Arabidopsis thaliana: one gene and its partners. The protein of the gene in region 3 interacts with the protein of the main gene of each other region in a pairwise test. Each region holds a gene or a part of one and is shown on either strand. Other genes may lie near its edges.

The links.
Region 1: the proteins of RABA5a (region 3) and CASP interact in a protein complementation assay, tested with the Arabidopsis thaliana proteins (one large-scale study listed by BioGRID).
Region 2: the proteins of RABA5a (region 3) and REP interact in a two-hybrid assay, tested with the Arabidopsis thaliana proteins (one large-scale study listed by BioGRID).

Annotation. Positions count from the first base shown.
Region 1 is NC_003074.8:6,335,135-6,343,988, reverse strand, and holds CASP (CCAAT-displacement protein alternatively spliced product), read right to left. Parts: upstream 7,298-8,854; 5' UTR 7,066-7,297; coding exon 6,963-7,065; intron 6,563-6,962; coding exon 6,452-6,562; intron 6,333-6,451; coding exon 6,154-6,332; intron 6,072-6,153; coding exon 5,922-6,071; intron 5,699-5,921; coding exon 5,610-5,698; intron 5,523-5,609; coding exon 5,413-5,522; intron 5,294-5,412; coding exon 5,199-5,293; intron 5,102-5,198; coding exon 5,046-5,101; intron 4,947-5,045; coding exon 4,781-4,946; intron 4,664-4,780; coding exon 4,571-4,663; intron 4,439-4,570; coding exon 4,310-4,438; intron 4,187-4,309; coding exon 4,067-4,186; intron 3,947-4,066; coding exon 3,866-3,946; intron 3,438-3,865; coding exon 3,330-3,437; intron 3,228-3,329; coding exon 3,084-3,227; intron 2,995-3,083; coding exon 2,893-2,994; intron 2,803-2,892; coding exon 2,723-2,802; intron 2,636-2,722; coding exon 2,543-2,635; intron 2,454-2,542; coding exon 2,393-2,453; 3' UTR 2,201-2,392; and 1 more. Other genes in the region: ILR2 (iaa-leucine resistant 2), read left to right, coding at 811-1,423, 1,524-2,071; AT3G18470 (PLAC8 family protein), read left to right, coding at 8,291-8,345, 8,456-8,527, 8,612-8,824. UniProt on the Arabidopsis thaliana protein: May be involved in intra-Golgi transport.
Region 2 is NC_003074.8:2,033,305-2,040,246, forward strand, and holds REP (Rab escort protein), read right to left. Parts: upstream 4,488-6,942; 5' UTR 4,359-4,487; coding exon 3,643-4,358; intron 3,523-3,642; coding exon 3,400-3,522; intron 3,285-3,399; coding exon 3,185-3,284; intron 3,100-3,184; coding exon 3,061-3,099; intron 2,977-3,060; coding exon 2,724-2,976; intron 2,623-2,723; coding exon 2,547-2,622; intron 2,441-2,546; coding exon 2,248-2,440; intron 2,164-2,247; coding exon 2,080-2,163; intron 2,005-2,079; coding exon 1,897-2,004; 3' UTR 1,609-1,896; downstream 1-1,608. Other genes in the region: AT3G06530 (ARM repeat superfamily protein), read left to right, coding at 1-16, 103-333; AT3G06545 (uncharacterized protein), read left to right, coding at 5,008-5,506, 5,597-5,673; RWA2 (O-acetyltransferase family protein), read right to left, coding at 6,104-6,337, 6,428-6,524, 6,660-6,716, 6,801-6,863. UniProt on the Arabidopsis thaliana protein: Substrate-binding subunit of the Rab geranylgeranyltransferase (GGTase) complex. Binds unprenylated Rab proteins and presents the substrate peptide to the catalytic component composed of the alpha subunit RGTA and the beta subunit RGTB.
Region 3 is NC_003076.8:19,275,570-19,281,807, reverse strand, and holds RABA5a (RAB GTPase homolog A5A), read left to right. Parts: upstream 1-2,060; 5' UTR 2,061-2,237; intron 2,238-3,016; 5' UTR 3,017-3,084; intron 3,085-3,153; 5' UTR 3,154-3,243; intron 3,244-3,368; 5' UTR 3,369-3,441; coding exon 3,442-3,781; intron 3,782-3,886; coding exon 3,887-4,212; 3' UTR 4,213-4,578; downstream 4,579-6,238. Other genes in the region: AT5G47530 (Auxin-responsive family protein), read right to left, coding at 1-337; AT5G47510 (Sec14p-like phosphatidylinositol transfer family protein), read right to left, coding at 4,809-4,883, 4,976-5,017, 5,092-5,166, 5,248-5,322, 5,396-5,504, 5,610-5,659, 5,740-5,841, 5,920-5,997 and 1 more. UniProt on the Arabidopsis thaliana protein: Intracellular vesicle trafficking and protein transport.

The DNA of each region.
Region 1 (8,854 bases), on a different chromosome or scaffold from region 3:
AGATAAGCATTCGTTTGTACATCACATGCGTGCCATTAGAAAAAGAATTAGAAGAATCTTTGTGGGATTTTCCCATTTATATAAAGTATGTTTTCACCGGATAACATTCTCTTTTTTTCCACAGCCTCTCTCTTCTAAAGTCCAAACATTGTATTGGCGTAAAGCTAACTCAACTTGATTCCTCTCATTATGTGACGGTTTTGGAAAATGAGGAATGTTTTGTTCTTAGAACGCCATAGTTAAAGAAGTTCCACTCTAGTTAATTACCAAATTTATATGTGGCAGGAAATACAAAAACAAGAATATCATCTTCCGATTTTGATCACTTGTGTCACGTAAACATAGATTTTACTAATGGAATGAATGAGAAATTTAAACATCAATTTAACTAATGGAATGAATGTGACACAAACAAAAAGAAGGTTGGAATTTGGAACCAAAACGCGTTCAAAGGAAATTATATTATTGTCTAAACTTGAAATTGTATTCCAATTTTTTGCTATTATATACAACTTGCAAAAAATTGCAAGTCCCGAATAAAAAATCATCACACAATAGTAAGTTGTAGAGTTTTAAAGATTTCCTCGTTTTAATGAGAAGTTGAAGCGGTGAAGAACTTTTCTTTCTTTTCTTTTCTGATAAGTGCAATTTACTAAAAAATTTAAAACATATGTTGTGTCCCGAAGCGACACTGTGTCTACCAAACCTTCATTCATAAAAGTCAAAACATTACACATCAAGCAAAACGTATTTTCTTCATCAAAACCTCTGCTTACGATCTGTTTCTTGTTAATAAAGATATCAATCACTATGGCCTCTGAATCTTCAACTCACAAGACGAAGCTTGAGAAGAAGACTTGTCTTAGTTTCCTTTCTAGTTTCACCCGAAGCCAAATCGTGTACCCAACGCAAGGTATCTCACACTACTACCCTTCCTGCCACATGATGGTCCATGCTATGAACATTACACTTTGCGATAATTTTGATTTCAAACGGGCCAATCCCAACTATCACCCCTACATCCTCCGCCTCTACTGTGGTGTTCTCTTTTGGATCCAGTGTCTTAGAGCTGGAAACGATGTGAATGATCTTACTGATGTTCAACACCGGTTCCTAAACCGGTTCTTGGACAACCATCCCTTGGAAACTCTCGCTGTTCCCGGCCCTCTCCTCGGACTCTTCAAGACTCTTTGCTCTTCGCAGCCGGAGTTTCCTCATAATCATAATGGGAAAGTGTATCCTCGCATCCCTGCCCAACCAGGCCCGGCTCGACGTGACGCGTTCATGCGAGATCTTCTTGAAAGCCACTTCTTGCCTAACGTCCCTGGCATCTTCGCCCTCTTGGAAGACTTAACCGCCTTTTTACCCAATACCTCCCGTCTATCCAAAGAGAGGCAGGCACATTCCCGTTACCCAAAATACCGTCTCTAACTTCGGTCACAAGACCTTTGGTCTCCATGCAAGCAGGACAGAGGCTGAAAAATGGTCACTCGTTTTACCTGGCTTACAGTACCCTTGTGAAGCCGATCAAAGCCTGAATGAGGCGTTTGCTGATTGCTACAGCAATTTTAACTTTCAGGTCACTTCTGCCGCTGATAACCTCGAAAAGATCTCTTCCTTTCTCCACATGAAACACAGCATGGCTTGGTTCAATCAAGTAAAAGGAGTTGCGGATGATGTTGCTGCATCCTTTGAAGGATCCGGCACCCTTGCTGACTGCTCTCCACATGGGTTGGTTGCTAACCAAGTCATGGTCGTTCTCTCTACCCCGGAACATCTTCCAGAATCACCAAATTGTATTGCTGATAAGCGTGCAACCTATGAGTTCGGTTACCAGCTCAAAAGCACAGTTCGCAACCTCCCTCCCCTTGCGGAAGCACTTGCCGCCTTCTCTCAGACATATATCAGGATGTTTCCTAACCATCCCTTCTTCGGGACGTTTGGGTCGAAAACTCTTGATCATGGCCCGTTCTGGAAAATAAGGCCTATTGGCTCCAGCCTTACCGATAACAGCTCCTACCTCACTATCCCATCGATTGTCAAGCAAGCATTCAAAGGCCCAGCCACGTAGGTGTTGTTGCCTAACAGATATCAAGCAACGACTTTCATTTTATTTTATTTTGTATTTGGATAGCAACAATTATTCCTGTCGGATTTGTTATCGTTTTGGTGCATTTTTCATGGTTATTTATGTTTCGAAGAAAAGTAAACCAGATCTTATTTAGATTTCTGCAGTTTTCTGAAGGAAGTTTTTTCTGTGGCTTTATATATGTATCGAGTGATTTGGATCCCTCTGTACAAATATTCAACCGTTTTAGAATTGCCCACGGAACACTACAAGGACAAGAAAGAACATAACGACCAAAAACGAATAAGTCCCTAGGGTGAGAGCTTAAAGACCGTGAGGAAGGTTTGTGGTTGCTTCTGTCATTAGAGTCTCCTCTGCTCCATGGCTAAACCATAAATAAAGAAGAAGAAATTAAATAAAATCAATCACATAATGGACTTGTAACAAAAACAAAAATTGGTGGGTTTGTTTTACCTGAGATAACTGTAAGCAGACATACGGTAGAGACAAGTGAAGACAAGGACGTGCAATCCTATTGTGTAGAAGAAAGCAAATGTCCTTGCGTATCTGAAAGATCCAATCATGAAATTGAAAATAACCGAAAATTCTGTGATCGAGTATGAATGTGAATAAACTTGAGAGCAAGAGGATTACTTGTTTCCTAGAAGGAACCGCCCACTGCTTAGCGTAATCCGATCTCTGATTCCCAAATCTTTGATCCGTTGCTCTCTTTCCTATCAAACACATATAAATAGGAAAGGGTTAATGTTTAGGAAAGAAATATAAGGCTTGTGTCGATGATAGCAGAATGTTTTATTTTTTACCTTTTTCGAGAATGCTGCAAAAGGGTTGATGTCATCTTCGTAAATTTTCTTGTATTTTGATTCGACATCCGAGCTGAATCCACTTTCAAGATCTTCCACATACTGAGATTGGAAAACGATATCAACCATGGAAAAAACCCGATCACGAGACAGAAAAGGTTCAAGGGAAATGTATCGCAGAAAACAAATACCTTTTTCGATCCTCGGGAAACAACTTTATCATGGTTATAGTCTTGGACATAACGGATTTTCCCATAGAGTTTGACGTTGTCTGCTTTGGTCTTCTCCAATTCGTCTGTGAGAAAACCTATCTTCTCTTTTAATCGCCTTATTTCCTGCAATGTTAAGAGAACACATAAAATTCAGTTCAAATAAATTTAACTGGAGATAGAGAATACAGAGGGAAGAGGATCATTTATATGTACAACTAACTGTACCTCTTCTGTTTCCCGTAATCGTGCTCGGAACCGATCTCTTTGGCTGCAGATAACTTTTAGCATTGAGCTTTGATCTTGCTCTGATGGAACATGTTTCTGATCCATAGGCTAATAAAAGGAAACACAAAATGATAAAGAGCAGTAGTTAGTGATAAGTCTAATTGTGAGGTATATAATATACCATATCATGGAAATACCCTTAGTTGTATGAAAACTTTTTAATGGTTTGACAAGAAGTTCAGAGGTATTTTGCTTTTGAAAAAAAAATAGATCATGGTAAAATATATACGTACCACGATTCCCTAGCAATATTTTAATTCACGCCATAAATAGAAGGCAGAGTGAGCATACATGTTAGACCGTTAAGATTATCTAGTAGAGAACTTAAAGCGATAGGTTACTGTTTATCTAACTCTTAGTTCTGAACGATTCCATCCTTTCTTTTACTTTTGGGAAAATTTTCCTGCTTTAAGAGTATTGCATGATAAATTACACGACTCATTGACTCATATATGCACAGGGCCAGAGAGAAGTACCTCAGACTGCTCAGCCACACCTGCTTCTGAGAACTCCCATTCATCAAATAGAGCACCTTTTCGCTCTTTTGAACCGTAACCCTGTGTAACAAGTAAATAAGGTTTCAGTATAATCAAAGACTTTGATCGAGTTTCTCCTCCTTAGTAGCAGTAGCACAGATACCTTTTAACTTAAAATGGTAACTACACACTCTTACGTACCTTCAAAATATCATCCTCCAACTTTTGTATCAGTCTTTGTTGTTCATTAACCTTAGCTGTCAGTTCTTCTCCCTTGGCTTCAGCCTTCTCAAGCAAGGAAGCTTTCTCAGAAAGTTGAACCTGGGAAAAGAAGTGGTGTGAATCGACCAGTGACTTTACTTGTGTATGTTCACTGAAAAGGGAAAGAGTAACGAAAAGACAGAATTACAGATGGTGGTGGTTCATTCCGTAGAGGTCATGTACCTTTAACTGAGTGACCTCATGTTCCATTTTTCTGTTTTTATCAAGAAGAAGCGACTCCATTTTGCTCATCTCTTCACCAGTGGTAGCAGCATCCCAGTCTTCAGCCTCAATTGAATTGTAACCTACAGCCTAATATGCAACAATGATATTACTACATACGATCGTACCGTTACCAGAAAGAACAAGGTATGGATCTGTGGCAAGAAGTTAATAAGAAGTTAAACTAAGTGAGCACCAAAAAACACTTGAAATGATGAATACCTGCAGAATTTTCACTTTTTTGCGCAAATCATCAACTAATTTTGCTGATGGTCTTTCTTGAAGCTCTTTCTTCATCTCTTCAATGATAGTATCCTGGTTTAATACCAAATGACGGTAAGCTAATATTAGACATTGAAGGGACCGGAAACTAATTTTCAGAACAAAATATAATTTCTCAGCATAAAAGACAAAACATAGCACAAATTTCACCTTTTTATTGAGCAAAGAATTCAATTTCTTTATCTCGGCAACATGACTTTCTCGCTCATTAGCTAAAGCTGTCTCAACATTGTGAATCTCCATATTAAGCTCCGAAATAATCTTCTCTTTTGCAGTTAACGAGTTCTCCAGCATACTATTCGAATCAATATTATCACTGTAGAGAAAGAGCATAACAAAAAAATTAAAACAAAGCAAAAACTTAGATAAAAGTTATTTGACTCCTTGTTATATGGACGCATAAGTGTCACCTCACCTTTTCTTGTTATCAGTATCTTCATTAGCTGTTTGCAGCTGAGAACGCAGATGTCCCTGTTACAAACCAATAAACAAAATTAGAGAGCTAAAAACGGTGGTTTATCTTAGGGCATTCCCTTAATTCAAACAAAGAGAGCATGATATGAAAGACCTTTTCCCTCTCAAGAGTAAGGAGTCGGGTCTGAGCACGCTCCACTTCATCCATCAATAGACTAACTTCAGATTGCTTCCCCGCGGTCTCTTCGTCTGATGGTTTAGACAAAGGTGACATATATTAACAAGACAAGAAGGAACAATATGTAAGGGAGACCATTCCAATTATGAAAGCACAATATGAGTCACCATATTAAGGCTCAATGCACCACCTGATTGAGCACGGAGTTCAAAAAGTTGGTTCTGTGCTAACTCATGCAATTTTTGCATAGTGGAGACGCTGTCTTTTGCTTGCCTTAACTGATCTTGCAAAGCTTGCTCCCTGTTAAACAGTGAACAAGGAAAGGTTGGTGCTTCCTCGAAAACTTTCTAAACACCCAAAGCATGCAGAAGAGAATTTTTTTTTTACCTATCCTTTAAAAGCTCCATCGTTTTCTGGTTTTCCTCAGCCAGATTTCGTTGCTTGATCTCAACAACTTCTTTGATTTTTTCTTCCATCTGAATCCAAATATAACAACTCGATATCACTGCTAATCTTCGACAGTTATTCGTTACAAGATCACAAAATAGCATCTCTATATAAATCATGCTTATGGCTCAGTGTATAAATTTGCATTTGACCTCCTAGAATAGACTGAAAAATAATCAAGGAAGCTGTGCTTTACATTCATTTAGTTTTATCCCTATATCAATTAGAAGAAGAGGTTAAAAGCAAGCTGACCTGTTGCTCAAGCTGGCGGTTCCGTTCTTCAAGCCTTCTTATTGTGGCCTGCTGATTTTTAAGATGAGTCGCTTCTGTCCTAAACTCCTCAAGTTCAACTTTCATCTTTCGATTTTCAGATTCCACTTCAGATAATTTACGATCTTGCTCCTGGAATACAGCAATTAGTTGGTTCTCAGGCTAAAGGACTTTAGGTGTCTATTATGTTAACATTAGATAAGTGGATAATTACAGCAATAGAAGCAAGAGCAGGAAACGGATCAGGTGCTTCATAGAGTTTCTGATAGATATTTAGGAAAGCATTCTCCCCAAACTTGGCCCTCTTGGTAATATTATCTACTTCTTCTTGATATCCCTTGAGGAGGGAATTAAACATACTAAGTTTGTTCTCAGGCGAAGCTTTCTTGAAGTCTGTTGTTACCAAGATAAACCAAAGAATATGTTAACATCTCTTCGCTGGAACCTATCGAGGTCCCTCAGGAGAAAATGTTGAAGTGTTAAGCAATATAAAAGGTGAAACAAAAAAGTACCTCGTGTGCTCTCTGCAAGCTTTCGGCGATTCTTTTGGCTGTTTTCTTGATTTTCAGCTATTCTAAGCCCTTGCTCGTCAAGCAGGCTTTTCTCCTTCTCCAAATCAAATTCTGCAACAAGTAGTTTAAAGACAAGTAAATGGATCATTCGGGAAGAGCTTTCTTCTATGATGATGTCTATCAAAACAGCGAGCAACCACAGAACCAGTTCTCTAATTGAAACTGGTTTCGTATAACAAATACAAAAGCCGGAGAATCGAGATGAAACTAGTTATCAGTACTGAAAAATGTGTTGATAACTTTTAAAGCAATAAACTGAAATTTCTCAATCCGATCACATTAAACTACCAATGCAATCTCCCCGAACATTCAGTGAGAATCTCATTAAGTCTTACTACTTAAACGGAATCCTAACAAACGAATTTCTCCTAACTACAAAAACAAGCTCATCCTCAGCTTCACTACGAGTCGAAGAAAACGAATAGATAGCTAGACATAATCTGAAACAAACCTTTCCAGAAATTGGTGACGACAGGAATGGGAGAGGAAGAAGAAGAAGAAGAGGAAGGAGGAGGAGTTTTATCTCTTTCCGATCCATCTTGCGAAACCTCCATTGTACTCGTATTCGGATCCCGATCTCGTTTCTCCGAAGAACACAAGCAATACTTCGATACGAAGAAAGTTTCTGGGAAGTGATTTCTTCTTCGAATCCGACGAATGAATTAATGAGTTTTCTTATTGTTGTTTTGTTGAATTTTTACTACTCCGATCGGATCTTCTGAGTTCAGATACATTAGAGTTTAATGGTGGTAGAAGCGTAATTCTTATTTATTTTTTTGTTATGAGTGTGATCCTAAACAGGCTTCAAAAACGTAAGGTCCAAAAGATATAGAATAACCAATGGGCTATTCCTTGCGCCATTCATAGGCCCAGTATTGATTTAGTAGAATAAATTCATGTTTATTGCACATCTAAGTTGAAAACATTTGTCAAATTTTGTTATGACTATTATTAATTAATAAAATTTTAAGTTTAAATTCTAATTTATTTCACTGGTTAGAAAATTTTAAAAGTTTATTTTTTTTCCTTCAGTTCTTTTCTTTGTAATTTGTTAGTATTAAGTAATATTACTTTACTAATAAAACCAGAATATTACATTAGATATATTTTTCAAAATTTTATTTTAAAGTTTGCAAGTTTGATTCCTTATATAGAGGAATAATGTTTGAACATATTATCTCTTATCTACAAATAATTTTAATAGAAATTTTATGAATAGAAAAATGTTGAATTTAATATTTTAAAATTTAGCATAGCCTGTTTTATTTTACTTTCGCATTTTTAGGATGTATATTTCTTTTTTATTCATAATTTCTTTAATTTTCTTAGTCATTAAATTAAATTCTTTGTATCTTGTATATATGTGTGGATTAAACCAATCCCAAAAACGCGTTTACATATTACTTTTAAGTAGCTTAAAATCTCTCACAATCAGTAAAATCTCTCACCTTCCTTAAACAAAAATCAATTTTCAAAAAACCTTCCTCCTTTTAACAAAAAGTGCAACGTACTAGTTTTAAAAGTCTTTTACTCTTTTTTACAACTTTTATGATTTTTCCCAAAGTGCAATGTACTAAAAATTAAACATTTGTAGATCTCTCGAAGCGATCCACCATCAACCATATATATACCCACCCACCCTCCATTCTTAAAGCATCTAACAACAAAAATCTATCTTCAAAACCCTAATTAATTGATTTACGATCTCGCTTATCAAAAGATCGATCAACACAAAACTGGTTAAAACCTGACGCAAGATTTGGTTGAAGCTACTTTACAATGGAAAAGCAATGGACTTCTGGTCTTTTCAGCTGCATGGAAGACAGTGAAACTGGTAGAAATTCTATATAAATTTAATCAAGTTGTCCTTTAATCTTTATACATATATAGATCTATTGTCAGGATTGTATAATGATTTGTTCCTTTTGGTTTGTGCTGGATAAGCTTGCCTCACATGTTTCTGCCCATGCGTCACTTTCGGACGGATCGCGGACATTTCCGACGAAGGAAGGACCGGTAAGCCATACATTCACATATGTCATATCTAAACAATGTGTGTGTGTGTGAATTCACGTAACGTCGTATATATAATGTACGTAGGTTGTGGGAGATGTGGGGTATTTTACGGGCTAATATGTTGTGTGGTCGGCTTACCTTGCTTGTTCTCATGCACTTACCGGACCAAGATCCGAAGCAAATTCGGGTTACCGGAGTCTCCAACTTCGGATTGCGTCACTCACTTCTTTTGTGAATGTTGTGCTCTTTGCCAAGAACACCGTGAACTCAAAACCCGTGGTCTTGACCCCTCTATTGGTAAATTGCATTGTTTTGTGGACTCACTTT
Region 2 (6,942 bases), on a different chromosome or scaffold from region 3:
ACCGCTGAACCACGAGGTAACAACATAATCTCAAGAAAGCGAGTCTCAGCTATCTTTGATAGACTTCAATTTTTTTAACTGACATAAAATCATATTGGTCAGGTGCTAATGCAAACGAGGAGTGAGAGTGTACGGTCAAGGATGTTGAGTTTGAGAAGTGTGAAACAGATGCTGGATAATCTGAAAGAAGAGTATCTTGTGTTGCTTGCTGAAACCATTCCATTCTTGGCTGAGCTACTAGAAGACGTCGAGCTATCTGTTAAATCTTTGGCTCAAGATATTATCAAACAAATGGAAGAGATGAGCGGTGAAAGTCTGGCGGAATACCTCTGAAACTCGTTTGAGTGCTATGCAACCGTTAGTTCCCAATTTTGATTCTTTTTTTGTCTGTCGTAGTAAATAACTAGATATGAAATACAACTTTCTGAAATTTTACGGTTTTTGAGATCCCTTCTAATGAATTGAGCAGAGATCAGTTTATGTGGTCATTCATGTTTGCAGAAATTTCAACATTGTTTTTCCATTTGTGAAGTAGTAATGTCATATGCGTTAGAAAGAAAAAACTTGGTTATTTTGTAGCCTATAGCTCAAAAACTTTCATATTTCAGCAAAAAAAAAAGGAGATGAGTACTAGCTTCGTTTTCTATTAAAGTGCAAACCTCAAAATCACAATTCAGAAATTCTTTACAGTTTTACCTCATTTTTAATCTGAATCAAGAATCGATAACAATAATTTCGGACCATAATCTGAGCAGAAGATAACACACGGTAATAGTTCTTTTCGTCTTGTTATATTCTCATGTAAATAAACTATAGTGGTTTGGGCTTTTGGTCTAATCCTTTTAGCTTTCATGCCTCTCTTCAAGTTGGGTTTGGTATCCCTTTATTGGGGTTGGGCCTTTTTAGTTTCAGTTTTAAAATTTTGTAATCATCTAGTTGGGCTTGACCTATTTTGTAATGTTCCATTTTATGATAAAAAGTCAATAGAAAGACCTTTAGGCAAAAAAAAAAAAAAAAAAACTAGTCGTGAACAATAAGTTATACAACAAATGAAATCTCGTCCCACGCGCTGCAAGTCTTTTCAATTTTAAATTTATGCAAAAATCCCCGAAAAGGAGGGTTATAGTCCACGGATTATAGTCTCACGCGCCGAAACGCGCCTGTGATGCGAGTGGTTTTGTATTTTAAATTCCTACACGCGTGTAGTTCTGTTTTAATCTTTAATTGATAGAATTATTTCGGGTCCAATTCCGACGCTAATTCAGACCCAATGGGCTTTAAATTCTGTCAAGTGTCAACCTTTGGGATTGGATAAACGATTGACGATTCTCTCCAGAGAATAACCAAACCCTCATAATTGGGCCTCATAATGAGAGCTTGGCACCACATTACATATGATAACATTAACCCAACGATCTCGAAAAAAGCATTCAAATTCTTAATCTTGACTTCAAAGTCAAATTTCCTAGTCGATAATGATATCTTCCTTGATTTTTTAAGTTTCTGGACTTGGCCATGAAAATCAGAATTGGAGTCGAAATATACGAAATCGGAAGTGTTTATTCAAAGAGAAACATAGAACGATTATGGTTGTGATCGGTAAAAGATGTCTGAATAAATTAATTTCTATACAAATTCATTATTTCTTTTTAGTCGTTGATTTAAAGTTTGTGGAGTTTCAATGGTTAGACAAGCGGTCGTGGATTAATCACTTCTTCTCAATCCTTTATTTCTTCCCTAATCATAGTTGCTCTCTAGTGAATAAGTAAAGAAAATGGCTCACCCTCCCTCTGCCAATCTTCCTGCTTCCCCTCTAATAACGGGGTAACTATATGTTACAATCAAATAAATAAATGGGTATTCTAAGTCTTTAAAACCAATGGTTTCATTCATCAATCAATCTTCTATTTCAACACCACCATCGTTTTCCTCCTCCGTTGTGTTCTCCGCCGGTGAGGTCTCTTCTTTAAATAATTCTTCACTCCCCATGAGCTTTTCATATAGCTACCAAATCCAATATGATAACATTATCAAAACCATAACTTAATGAGATAACTGCTGTAAGGAGCTTCTACTAACCTTCACGGCTGATTCCACTATCTCATTGTAGTTCAAGTTTCCATCTGGACTAGGCATGGAACTGATCGTACCTCCAAATTCACCCTGATCCAAATCAAACTTTTATTTAGTGAAAATGACATTACCAACGTCGAAATGAAAAGGTAAATTCCCAATCACATTTTCCACCTTGACTAGCTCTTGCACGTACAGTGCTCTCCAGAGTAGAATAGGTTTTGTCTCAGAAGTATCATTCTCAACAACGGAATCGCTTTGACGATTCTCGGGAACAGGCAAACTGATGAGATTACTCATGGCTGATAATAGCGCCTTTATCCCTTGGTCATCATTGTCGCACAAAGTTGAAAGATATAAAACATGCCTGCAGCAGCAAATATATATGGCTTAGAGAACAGTTAAAGCTAAGCAAATGGAAAGAAACAGAACTAAAATGGGAAAAGATCATCTTAGGCTAAACCACAACTTACATGTCAGCAGGACAAACCGCTAAACCACTACCAAGCTGCAGAACCCGAATTGCAGTTAGCTGTTCTGGAAACAAAGCTAAGAGGAAAAAACTATTAATGTTAGAACCTTCAAAACGCAAAAGACGATATACATGTAAGTGAAACAACTAACTAGTGGGTCTTCAAAAATTAGCTTACATTTAGGTGGATAAACGACAAGAGCGTTTGATACATTAGCTTTCACAGAACCTCTAATGACGCATACTCCTCTTGCAATTTTCTCCTTATTGATCATCGACTTTGGGACAAGAACACTGAGAGTTTCATTTTGCTGATCTGTCAATGACGACAGAGACTCTAATCCAACAGTAACACATGGATCCAGAATCAACTTTTGGCTGAATATCTCTTGACCAGAAGCTAATCTAACCCCTTTGTAACCCCCAGTTTCCTGCAAAAAGAGTTTAAAATAATCAAGTAAGAATCCTTTCCGTCAACTAAACTTATCTTATGCTACAACTGTCAGCTAACTTGCCTTGTCTAAAAGCAGAGCAGTAATAGGCATCCGGAGAACCTGTGAAAACAATGAAAGACTAAATAAGTAACAAATACCACAACAGCAACACAGTACACAATGCAGAAAATTGTTCCAAACGTACATAGATACATCCTTTGACAGCAGCCCGACGACAAAAGGCTTGTGGAAGTTCTCCTTGTCCATAAATTGGGTATATCAACGCCCCAAGTGCGTTAGAAAACCTAAGGTAGAGAATCAAAAGCTAAATTATACTCAATATAACCAATGATAATGTAAACCAATAAGAAAGATGATCACAAATGTGTAAGAGCCAGGAATGAGAAAATGATGAATGACCTGCCCATAGATGTGATGTATAGAGCCAATCGATCTATCCCCTCTTTGGTCTTGAGTAAATGTCTACAAGTTTCCGTATTGTCTTGATCATAATCTAGCATCGCAATGGCATACAAGATGATCCTACACAGAAGAAGAGGAAACAAAGCCTTACCTATCAACATTTCAGAGACAAAATTCTAAGAAGCATTAAGCAGAGACAAATGTCCAAAGAGCTGCCATTAACAGAGAAGGAGGTTATACGATTTGATTTTGGGTGGTAAACGCATCTTTGACAAGAAGTCCACAAATGGACTCTCCATATCTTCCTCCGATATCTTGACTGTTGTTGAATCATCTTTTTCGGTAGAAGAAGCCAAGTGACTTTGAACAAGCTTGAAGAATTTCATGAGCTGATTCTTCTCCAACAGAGTCAAGCTCTTGTCCTTGAATATAGCAGCTCTCGAATCCGGCACATTTCGTAGCTCACCGCTCGAATCCCCAACGAAGCTGGCATCGATGCTCTTGAACTCAACGTAGTTGTTAGCTCCTGATTTCAGCATGAGATTAATTGATTCATCGGCACAGAAGACAACCCTAGGACCAGCCAAGTCAACGTTGAATCTTCTAGAGTGTTCTTCGAGGATCTCCGATTCGAAGCTCGAAATCTCCACGGAGGAATACAAGGATCGGTTAACGAGATCCACGGAGATAAAATCATGGTTGTTTGACGGAGGGAGAGGAGGAGATGACGGCGACGGAGGAGGAGAAACGGAGTTTGAGTGAAGGAAAGAAGTGAGATCGGGAAGGGAAAGAGAGGCGAAGTGAGAGCCGTAGAAGGGGTTAGGGTCGAGGTGGAGAACAGAACTACCGGAGGAGGAAGCAGCGGCGGCTAAGACGGACTCAGAGACTCCGGTGCCGACGACAATGAGATCGTAGTTGGAAGGATCAAGCGGCGGGTAAGGAGGGATGTCGATCATGGTGGCTCGAACAGATTTGTGTATCAAAAGTCGAACCAACGTGACTTCAGTAGCTTGATCGATACACGAGCGTTGAATAATCTGGGAAGATGTTGAGATGAGTGAGGAGAATCGAGGAAGAGGTTCAAGAGAAGAAGAAGTTTCTTCTTACATTACATATACAAACGTAATGGGCCTAAGATGTAAATGAATAAAAGAGGTAAGTGTGAATCGGCCCAACATGGCCCATCTTCTTAATCAACGCATAGACTATAGGGTCTACTGTTTTTCTTATGTTAGAAACTTAAAATATGATTTTTTTTTTTATATAAACGGTTTAATTGAAGAAAATAGAGTTTATACTTTCTTCGTTCACTTTACTGGTCAGTGGTCCACTTATAATGTGATTTTTTGAACTATTTTCTTTGTTGAATATAAAAGAATTTTATATATCTTGAAAAAAAAAAGTGTTAGATAAAGATTGCGAAGATTTCTTTTGTTTGTTGTGATTATGAAAATCTTCTAACCACTTTTAACTAATAATAGAGATATACCACATTCTTCTGGATAAAAGCAGATTTAACTAACTAAATAAAAGAAATCGAAAAACGAATTCACGACGACTATTAAATCTCCGAAACCCCATAGTCCTAGTAAAAACACACACACGATGGAGAAGAAGATTAGTGATATGGATGTGTTTGTTTGCAGAGGAATATGGTATATAATGACTCTACTCTCACTTTTTGGCCTCTCCAAATCACTCAATCTTCTCTGGCCACCTGGAGATTCATCGTCTCAGTCCTTTAGGGACGGTGCGGTCAGTGTCACAACATTCTACGCAGTGACGCTACTCAGATATCTTTTTTTCACCGCTCCTCCTTCCGCTTGCTACAAGGAGTTTACTACAAAGTTGGAGAGAGTACCTCAGGTTTTGTTTTCGACATTTTCCGCAAATTTAGCGTTGGCATTGCCCTTAATATATGAGCTATTGACAAACAAAGAGTTTGAATTGTCCATGTCGTTATTCACCATCTCGTTGTTCACCGGAGGGTTAGGGCTGATTCAGCTATCGGATAAGTTTAGGATGGAGATCGGACATGCTTTGTACACGCTCTTCCTCGGTTGGTTATCTTGTCTCTTTAGCATGTCTAACAATCTATACCGGGGTGACTATAAGGTACTGTTATTGTTTTTAATATCAGTACCTCATTTTTTGCTTTCCTTTGGGCCCGCGTATAATTTCTCCAAATGGGAAGACTCGGACACTTTCTCTGCCTACCGAGCAATAGAGGACAAGCTTGACACACATGCTATGACTACACTTTCTATCTAAGTATATCAATGTTTCCTTACATTAAAGTAATGGCTTTTGCAAGTCCATCATATTTTACTTTGATGTAAGATTAATCTGGATTTTATAGCTATACAATTACTCATATGGATTTCCTTTAACTTGTAATAGACAATAATAAGTCTTAACATCATCGTGAACAGAAACACAAATAAACAAGAAAGAACACCTTATTCATAAATAAATATACAGAAAGATGACATTACAGCAACATTGTATGCATCTACCTCTGATTTCTATCTTCGTATATCTACCATATCGCGTAGTTCAACTCCTATGAATTCATTCGAATAGTCCACTCTGGTCCGGTTCAGAAGTGCTTCACACCTGTTTGTTTCCAGTGAAATAATAAAACGTGAGATGGTTCAATCGAATATGAGAGGATGACATTCGTCCTCGCTTTGTGTATGCACTAACATATCAATGAACTCAAGTACCAGGGAAAAAAAAGCTTTCTCCCACACAAAAAGATAAAATTTTGACTTACCAGTTTTTGGGGAATTGTGATAAGAATAAATGAGAAAAAGTAGAGACAAGTGCAGATTATGAGTGCTGAGATCGTGTTGTAGACAAGGCGTTTGTCGTCCTTGGTTGGTATGAAGGCTGTTTTCAAAGTGTTGGTAAGCTCAAAGAGCCTATAAGAGATCTGAAAACAGAGCAACAAAAAGCCAATCAGTTTGTTTGTATCTGTCTGGCTTTCAACTTGTTTCTATCTGTTGTAGCAGGGTTTGCTTACAGCGACGTAAATCGAAGTAGTGAGCATGAAGTTCAACAATGGGTAATCCGGGACAAGAGATAGTAGTAATTTGGGTTGACCATCAGGAACTCCAGATCTGTGGGTGAATTAGATTATTTCATAGTTCAATGGGTCAGGAAAAATCTTAATAGCTTATTGTATTAGCATGCTCCACCATCAATTTCCCACTTACTCTACAATTGAGAACTTGGGCAAGAAAAGTGTGACATACCTGAGCCATATATGAAACTGGGAGATATATGTCTCCAGTGTTATCTTTCCAAGCCACCTGAAAGTTCATGAACAAATTTTTCTTGAAAAAATCGTTATAAGAGGATAAACATATCTATTGACTGAATTATTTTTTACTTACGCCAGAAGGGTCAAACTGTAGCCGCGGAAAGACTGGGTGATGTTCCGGAGACAGATATAAACACTGAAAGAAAAGCAAAACGAGGTACACAAGTAAGGACTGGTTCTTAGAAGAGTGGTTGTATAGAGATTTGCAGGTAAAG
Region 3 (6,238 bases):
TACTGATGGGTGACGTATAAGCCCTAACGGTGCCGTCTGATTGTGGATAAGCCACAATGGCTTGAGCTCCGACCATGCCAGTAGATGTGGGATTCACGGCCCATGCCACCCATTTCCCGGGGGTGAGCTTTGTGTGGCGATACGCGATTTGGAGATTGCCTGAAGAAGAATCGTAAGTGTAGTGGAGGAAGGAATCAAGAACAGGTAGGTCGTTGCAAGACTCAAAGAGACGGTTGGTGGAGAATTTGTAGTTGGAACATTTCTGAGCCAAGGCGGATTTGGTGATGATGAAAATGAAAAGAGAGAGACAAAGGAGAAGATTTGAGGATATGGCCATGGAAACAGAATCTCGAGTAATGATTAAAAGATGGATGAATGATAAGATTTAAGTATGAAGGGGAAGAGAGGAGAATGAGATTAAGTATGAATAGAAAGTGGAACAAGTAGGGTTTGGTTTGTTAGTTAATCTGTCTTAATACAGAATCTCTAATTCTCTTCACACGTGTCCTTTTTTCATAGTTTAATCTTTCTTTTAATCCTCTGCTTTTGTTCTTGTTCATCTATCAATTGCAATGTTTTACCTAAGAGTAAAAAATAGAAACATTATAAATGAAGCGTTCATTGTTTTCCCAAAAAGGTTTGACGTGTAATGTATTTCTTCCTTAAGAGTCTTTAACCCTCTCAAGCAAAAACCAAGAAATAAAAATATGAAGGGGTCATCTTCACGTTCAAAAACCAGTTCACACCAACTTTATTACGAGAACTCATTTCTCGTGTTTATTTTTTCTTTGTTTGTCATGAAAAATCTTTTTCATTGTATATAGGTTTTGTCATGACATTGCGCGTTAAGTTAGATTATAATCTTGGTACGCTTGGGAATTGGGATGATGATAAATTATTGAGCACACTAAAATATTAGGTTTCATTGGGTTTAGTGGTTCAATTGACGAAAGTAGACTAGCGAAGGGAGTAGTGGTTTTCGCGTAATAAAGGGCAAACACGTCTATGCCTGCAACTACTAACGTTGTGCATGTATGATGTACCCTAAGTAAACATCTACCACCTTATGAGTATGGACTGGAGCGGACCAGACCAACAAACTGTTTATGAGAGATTCCAATCCAAGGGAAGTGGTTGGGTTTAGCTATTTTTAGAGTTATGTTCTTCTATATATAGGCCGCGACCAACATTTCAACGGTTAAGACCATGTACATGAGTGATATTTTTAGAATATCATCAGTGTAAAAATTATTTTTTTATTAACCAAACAATTAGAATGAGTTTGATTAGTATCATTCCAGTGATTTTCTTGATATCAGTATCATCTACGTGACATCTCCTGATTGGTAGCATTTATTAAAAGTAAGAAAAAAAATATTTATCTATTAAACAAACATTATAAATAATACTAAAATTTTTTTAATGATACTTTGAGAATATCACCTATAAGCATGCTCTAACCAGGTGGATGTATAATAATGTCCTTTCTTGGTCAACGCTCAAATTACTACCTGCCACATGTCCCCCACTAGATTCTTTGGTGTAGCTGGGCTCAGTTTGAACTAGACTCTTTTATATGGGCTTAAGTGTTAATTATCAAAAAACAACCCAAAATGAGATATTTAGATATAATATGTTTTTGATGGAAAAAAAGGAAAGATATAATATGTTTTTTTGATGAATGAAAAGTATTACAATTATTCAAAAAATCACTAGTTTCCTGAAAAACAATACAAATTGCATAGTTTCAGAAGGATAATCTGATTTGGGTAGAGTTTGTTGATGTTAGAAATATAAATATTTTCTTTTATAAATAAAATAGGATGGAAAATCCATCATATTTGAAAGTTTTGTTGTGTCTAATAAATAACAGTAGAGTGTACATAATCGGTAACTTTTTTTTCCTTAACTAAAATTTTAAGTGAAACTAAAACAAAGGTGGTAAAAAAAAGTAGAGCCTATGGTAAAATAGGGTAAGAGGGTCCATAAGGGCCCAAGATGTTTTATTTTTGCTGAGCCCATTATTACCAATCCGAACCGAAATGGAAAAACTCCGGTCTCTTTCTTTCTCTCTCTCTCTGCCAGAGTTACTGCGTGTCTTTGATTTCCCAGAAGAAGGCGTTGAATCCTTTCGTTTTCCGATTCCATTTTTGGGATCTCTTGTTTCGTTTTCTTCTCTTTGGATCCATTCCATTCCCATGTTCCCCAATTTCTTTAATCGGTGTTGCTTCCACAAGGTAATTTTGTTTTCCTCTGCACTTCCCGAGAATAAAGAGAAGGTTTTTCTCAATTTTCCCCTTATGATTATCCCTGTAAATGCGAGTTTTTTGTCCTGTTTTGTCTAATGGGTCTTCATAATTCGTGATCATCAACGTTTTCTCTGTCTTGTGTGTGTATGTATGTGTGTGATCTTACATCTGACGGGAATGTAATGTGATGATCTCTCATGTAAAATTCTGTTTTTACTTGGTTTGATTGTTTCTATTACAATGCTCTGTTTTTGCTTTAAAGAGTTCTTACAATATCTCCTCCTTCTCTTTTGCGAAAATGGGTTCTTACTTGGGTTTAGTTTCTTAGGTGAAGTTTCGATTATTTTTTTGAATTGGTGTTTTATAAGTTTTGATGTCTCATCATCTTTTTCAGAAAGAAATGTGTGGCCTACTTTCATTTTCTAATGCCGTATATGAAGATTTTCATATTCAGGCAGATATTATAAACCTGCAGCAATCATTAACTCGATTCATCTTTAATGTGAGCCCTAAGGACAAGACTGAGAATTTTCTATCAGTGTTTAAGATTGCACTTTGTGTGATCAAGTGAATGAGTATTGTTGGTTGAATTGGGCCCGCGCTTGTCTTTTCTGTCTCAATTCTGTTTCTCCTTATGATAGAGAGAATATTTCTCTGCTTTCCTATTGGTGGCTTTCATGATTTGTGAATAGTCAGTATCTACCGACTTTAACTTAGATTCTTAGGGTGAGATTATAACTAAAGTTAGCTTTACTTGTTGTATATAGGCTTCATGAGCTTGTATAACAAGTTTCTCTAGGAGGTGTTAAAGAGCCAGATCAAGCTTTCAGAAGAGGTAACTTGTATTGCTGTCTTACTTTGGATCCAGAATGCGTTTATGTGCTGAATACTTTGCTTGTGATAGATTTTCTTAGGGTGGTTGAGAGCTGAAAGTTTTGATATTTAGTCAACTTTGTTCCACTGAACCTTCTAGGAAGCTACCTCAAGTAGACAGGTGATCTTAAAGATTCTCTTGTTTCTCTTAGATCTCAATCTTTACTGTTTCTCAAGTTTCCTATGCCAACTCTACTTATTCTTGTCTTCCCTCTTCCTCACTTTGGCTCTTTGTTTTGTCCTTAGCTTTGTTGACGGGCTTCAAGCCAGTGGTAAAGATATGCTTCTGTAGAAGGGTTAATCTTGAGCATTAAAGGACATGGCTTTCTACTCTGAAGACGACAAGAGCGAAGACTACCTCTTTAAGATTGTTCTAATCGGTGATTCTGCTGTCGGGAAATCAAATTTACTTGCCAGATTTGCGAGGGATGAGTTCTATCCCAATTCAAAGTCGACGATTGGAGTGGAGTTTCAGACACAGAAGATGGATATAAACGGGAAGGAGATCAAAGCACAGATATGGGACACAGCAGGTCAAGAACGTTTTAGAGCAGTCACTTCTGCATATTACCGAGGTGCAGTTGGAGCTCTTCTGGTTTACGATATCAGCAGACGGCAGACTTTTCACAGCATTGGTAGATGGCTCAACGAGCTACACAGTAAGAAACCTCTTATCTTTTCTTATCTGCTACTAAACAATCTCCCATTTGCTAATTGATTCAAGAATAATGAAAGTGAGGGGTGTCTTCATAAAACTGTTGCAGCACACTCTGATATGAATGTTGTGACGATCCTGGTGGGCAACAAGTCGGATCTGAAGGACTTGAGAGAAGTGTCAACAGCGGAAGGGAAGGCATTGGCTGAAGCACAAGGTCTTTTCTTCATGGAGACATCGGCTTTGGACTCATCAAACGTGGCAGCTGCATTTGAGACGGTTGTGAAGGAGATATACAACATACTGAGCAGGAAAGTGATGAGCTCACAGGAGCTAAACAAGCAAGACCCTGCTTCACTGAGCAATGGCAAGAAAGTTGTGATACCATCAGACGGGCAGGGCGAGTTCAAGAAAGGTGGATGTTGTTCTTCTTGATAGAAAACTGAAATTGTAGAGAGCTTAAAAAGGAAGACTATTGATCATCTGTTTGATTGTTTATGTTGTCCACGTTGCCATGAACGTTGAAATTTGAGATGGGCTTGTGTTGTGGTGTGGAAGTGTTTAGGTGTAGTAGCAATCTGTAAATTTTCTATTGCAGAAGCTTTTATGAGACTCACACTACTCTATAAAGTTTGCAACTCATGATAATGAATGATGATGATGATTAGTCTTCTGTTAGTGTCACCTGTTATACATCACTGCCAAGTCTATAGATCCTTTTACAAGAAAATGGTTTACTTGTAAATAAAATAGTTGTAATATGTAATGAATATTGTTATTTCTATGGAGCATTTGTCATCGGGAAGAGGATCAAATCGAGCTGTGGAATTAGAAGAAAGTTGTGGTGCAGAGATCACACGTGCAATTGCATGTGAGACAGATTGGCTCCACACATGATTGCATTTAACGCCGTAGTACGGATTCCACAAACTTATCTATCATCTATCATCTATCATCATCATTATCGTCATCATAATACATTTCTTTTCTTCAGATAATCAAACCGGACATATTCTTAACTATATTGCTTTCTAAACCGGTTTGCATTTGGTTATAGGTTGATTCGGTTGAATGGCCTCAATGATCTCCGCGAGTCCATTCAAGACCTGAAAATAGGAGGAAGACCATTGGATCTTAAGCATAGACAAGTAAAACTCATATGCTGTGTAACCATTTAGCTTCTCTTGTCTCTCTTTACCTTTTTAGTCTCATGGAGTGATATTTCCAACATTTCTATCCTCTGCAGGAACCAAAACACACACAAATCAGTCAAAAGATTCATGAAACTAAATTTCATATTATCCTAGATTTCACCTTCTGGGAATCCTTGACAGCAGTTTTCAGGGCAGCATACTTCTCCATTGTAATCATGACCTCGCCTAAACTTTCCTGCATTCCATTTATATATATCTGAATCAGCTTCAATATTGAATTCAATAAATCGATTTCATTTACACTATCTTTATGTACCTTTTGATTGGCTGGAGCATTTTCTGAGACTTTATCCATAGTCTCTGAATGAGCATCTTCGATTGTGGAAGGCTCCTATATCGAAGATAATATCCAATTTTACTGTGTATAGCTTGATAAAAGTTCAATAAATGGTAATGGCACAAACCTCGATCTTTTCCTTGATGCCTGGATCATTCCAAGGTCCTTCATCACTGAAAAGACAGCCTCCATGATCTGAACAGGTGCAATTTCCTCCAAGAAATGTTGGTAAGTTGCTGTTTTCAGAAATCAAACACAAATATTCCTGAGGTTCCTCATTTATGAAACAAATCTTTTCACTGAATTTAGTAGAGAAAACAAATCAGAAAAAGGTTTTAGACCTTGGTTCTATTGCTTCAAGTAGCTCTCCAAGGTAATTGGGTCCTAGCACCTACAACAACAAACATCATTTTAGGTAAAGAAATCTGTGACTAAACGAAAAGCGAGCACCGAGTGGCATATGCTTATTACTTGAACTTTGGCCAATGTCCGAGCATCAAGAAAGGTCTTGAGTGCAAGCCACAACATCCGGAATCCAGAACTGGCATTGACAACGAAGAGGCGATGCAAAGTCTAGAGCCAAACCAACCAGAATTACATCCATTCCTTGTTGATATGAAGCTGTTAATGAATCCGAAAAATCCAACCTACCTCAGGGTAGTAGTTGCTGTCTATCTTTTGAATTTCCATAAAGAGGGATCTCGCAGGTTTTGAGAAGTTTGACATTCCCTTTTCAAGAACAATGGATGAGGCAACAAACAATTTGTTAAATAATTTCATCTACAGTTTAAAAGGCCGAAAATATTACCACTCCAGAGACATCCAATATGGTTGTTGTTGACGAAACATGCTTATCTGAAGCAATTGAACATGCTGGATATCTCAAGCTCATTGTTTTCTCTTGTTCTTTGATATGATAGTTAACATATCTCTCAATGGTGGTTGCTTTGAGAAACGCGTTAAGGTCAGT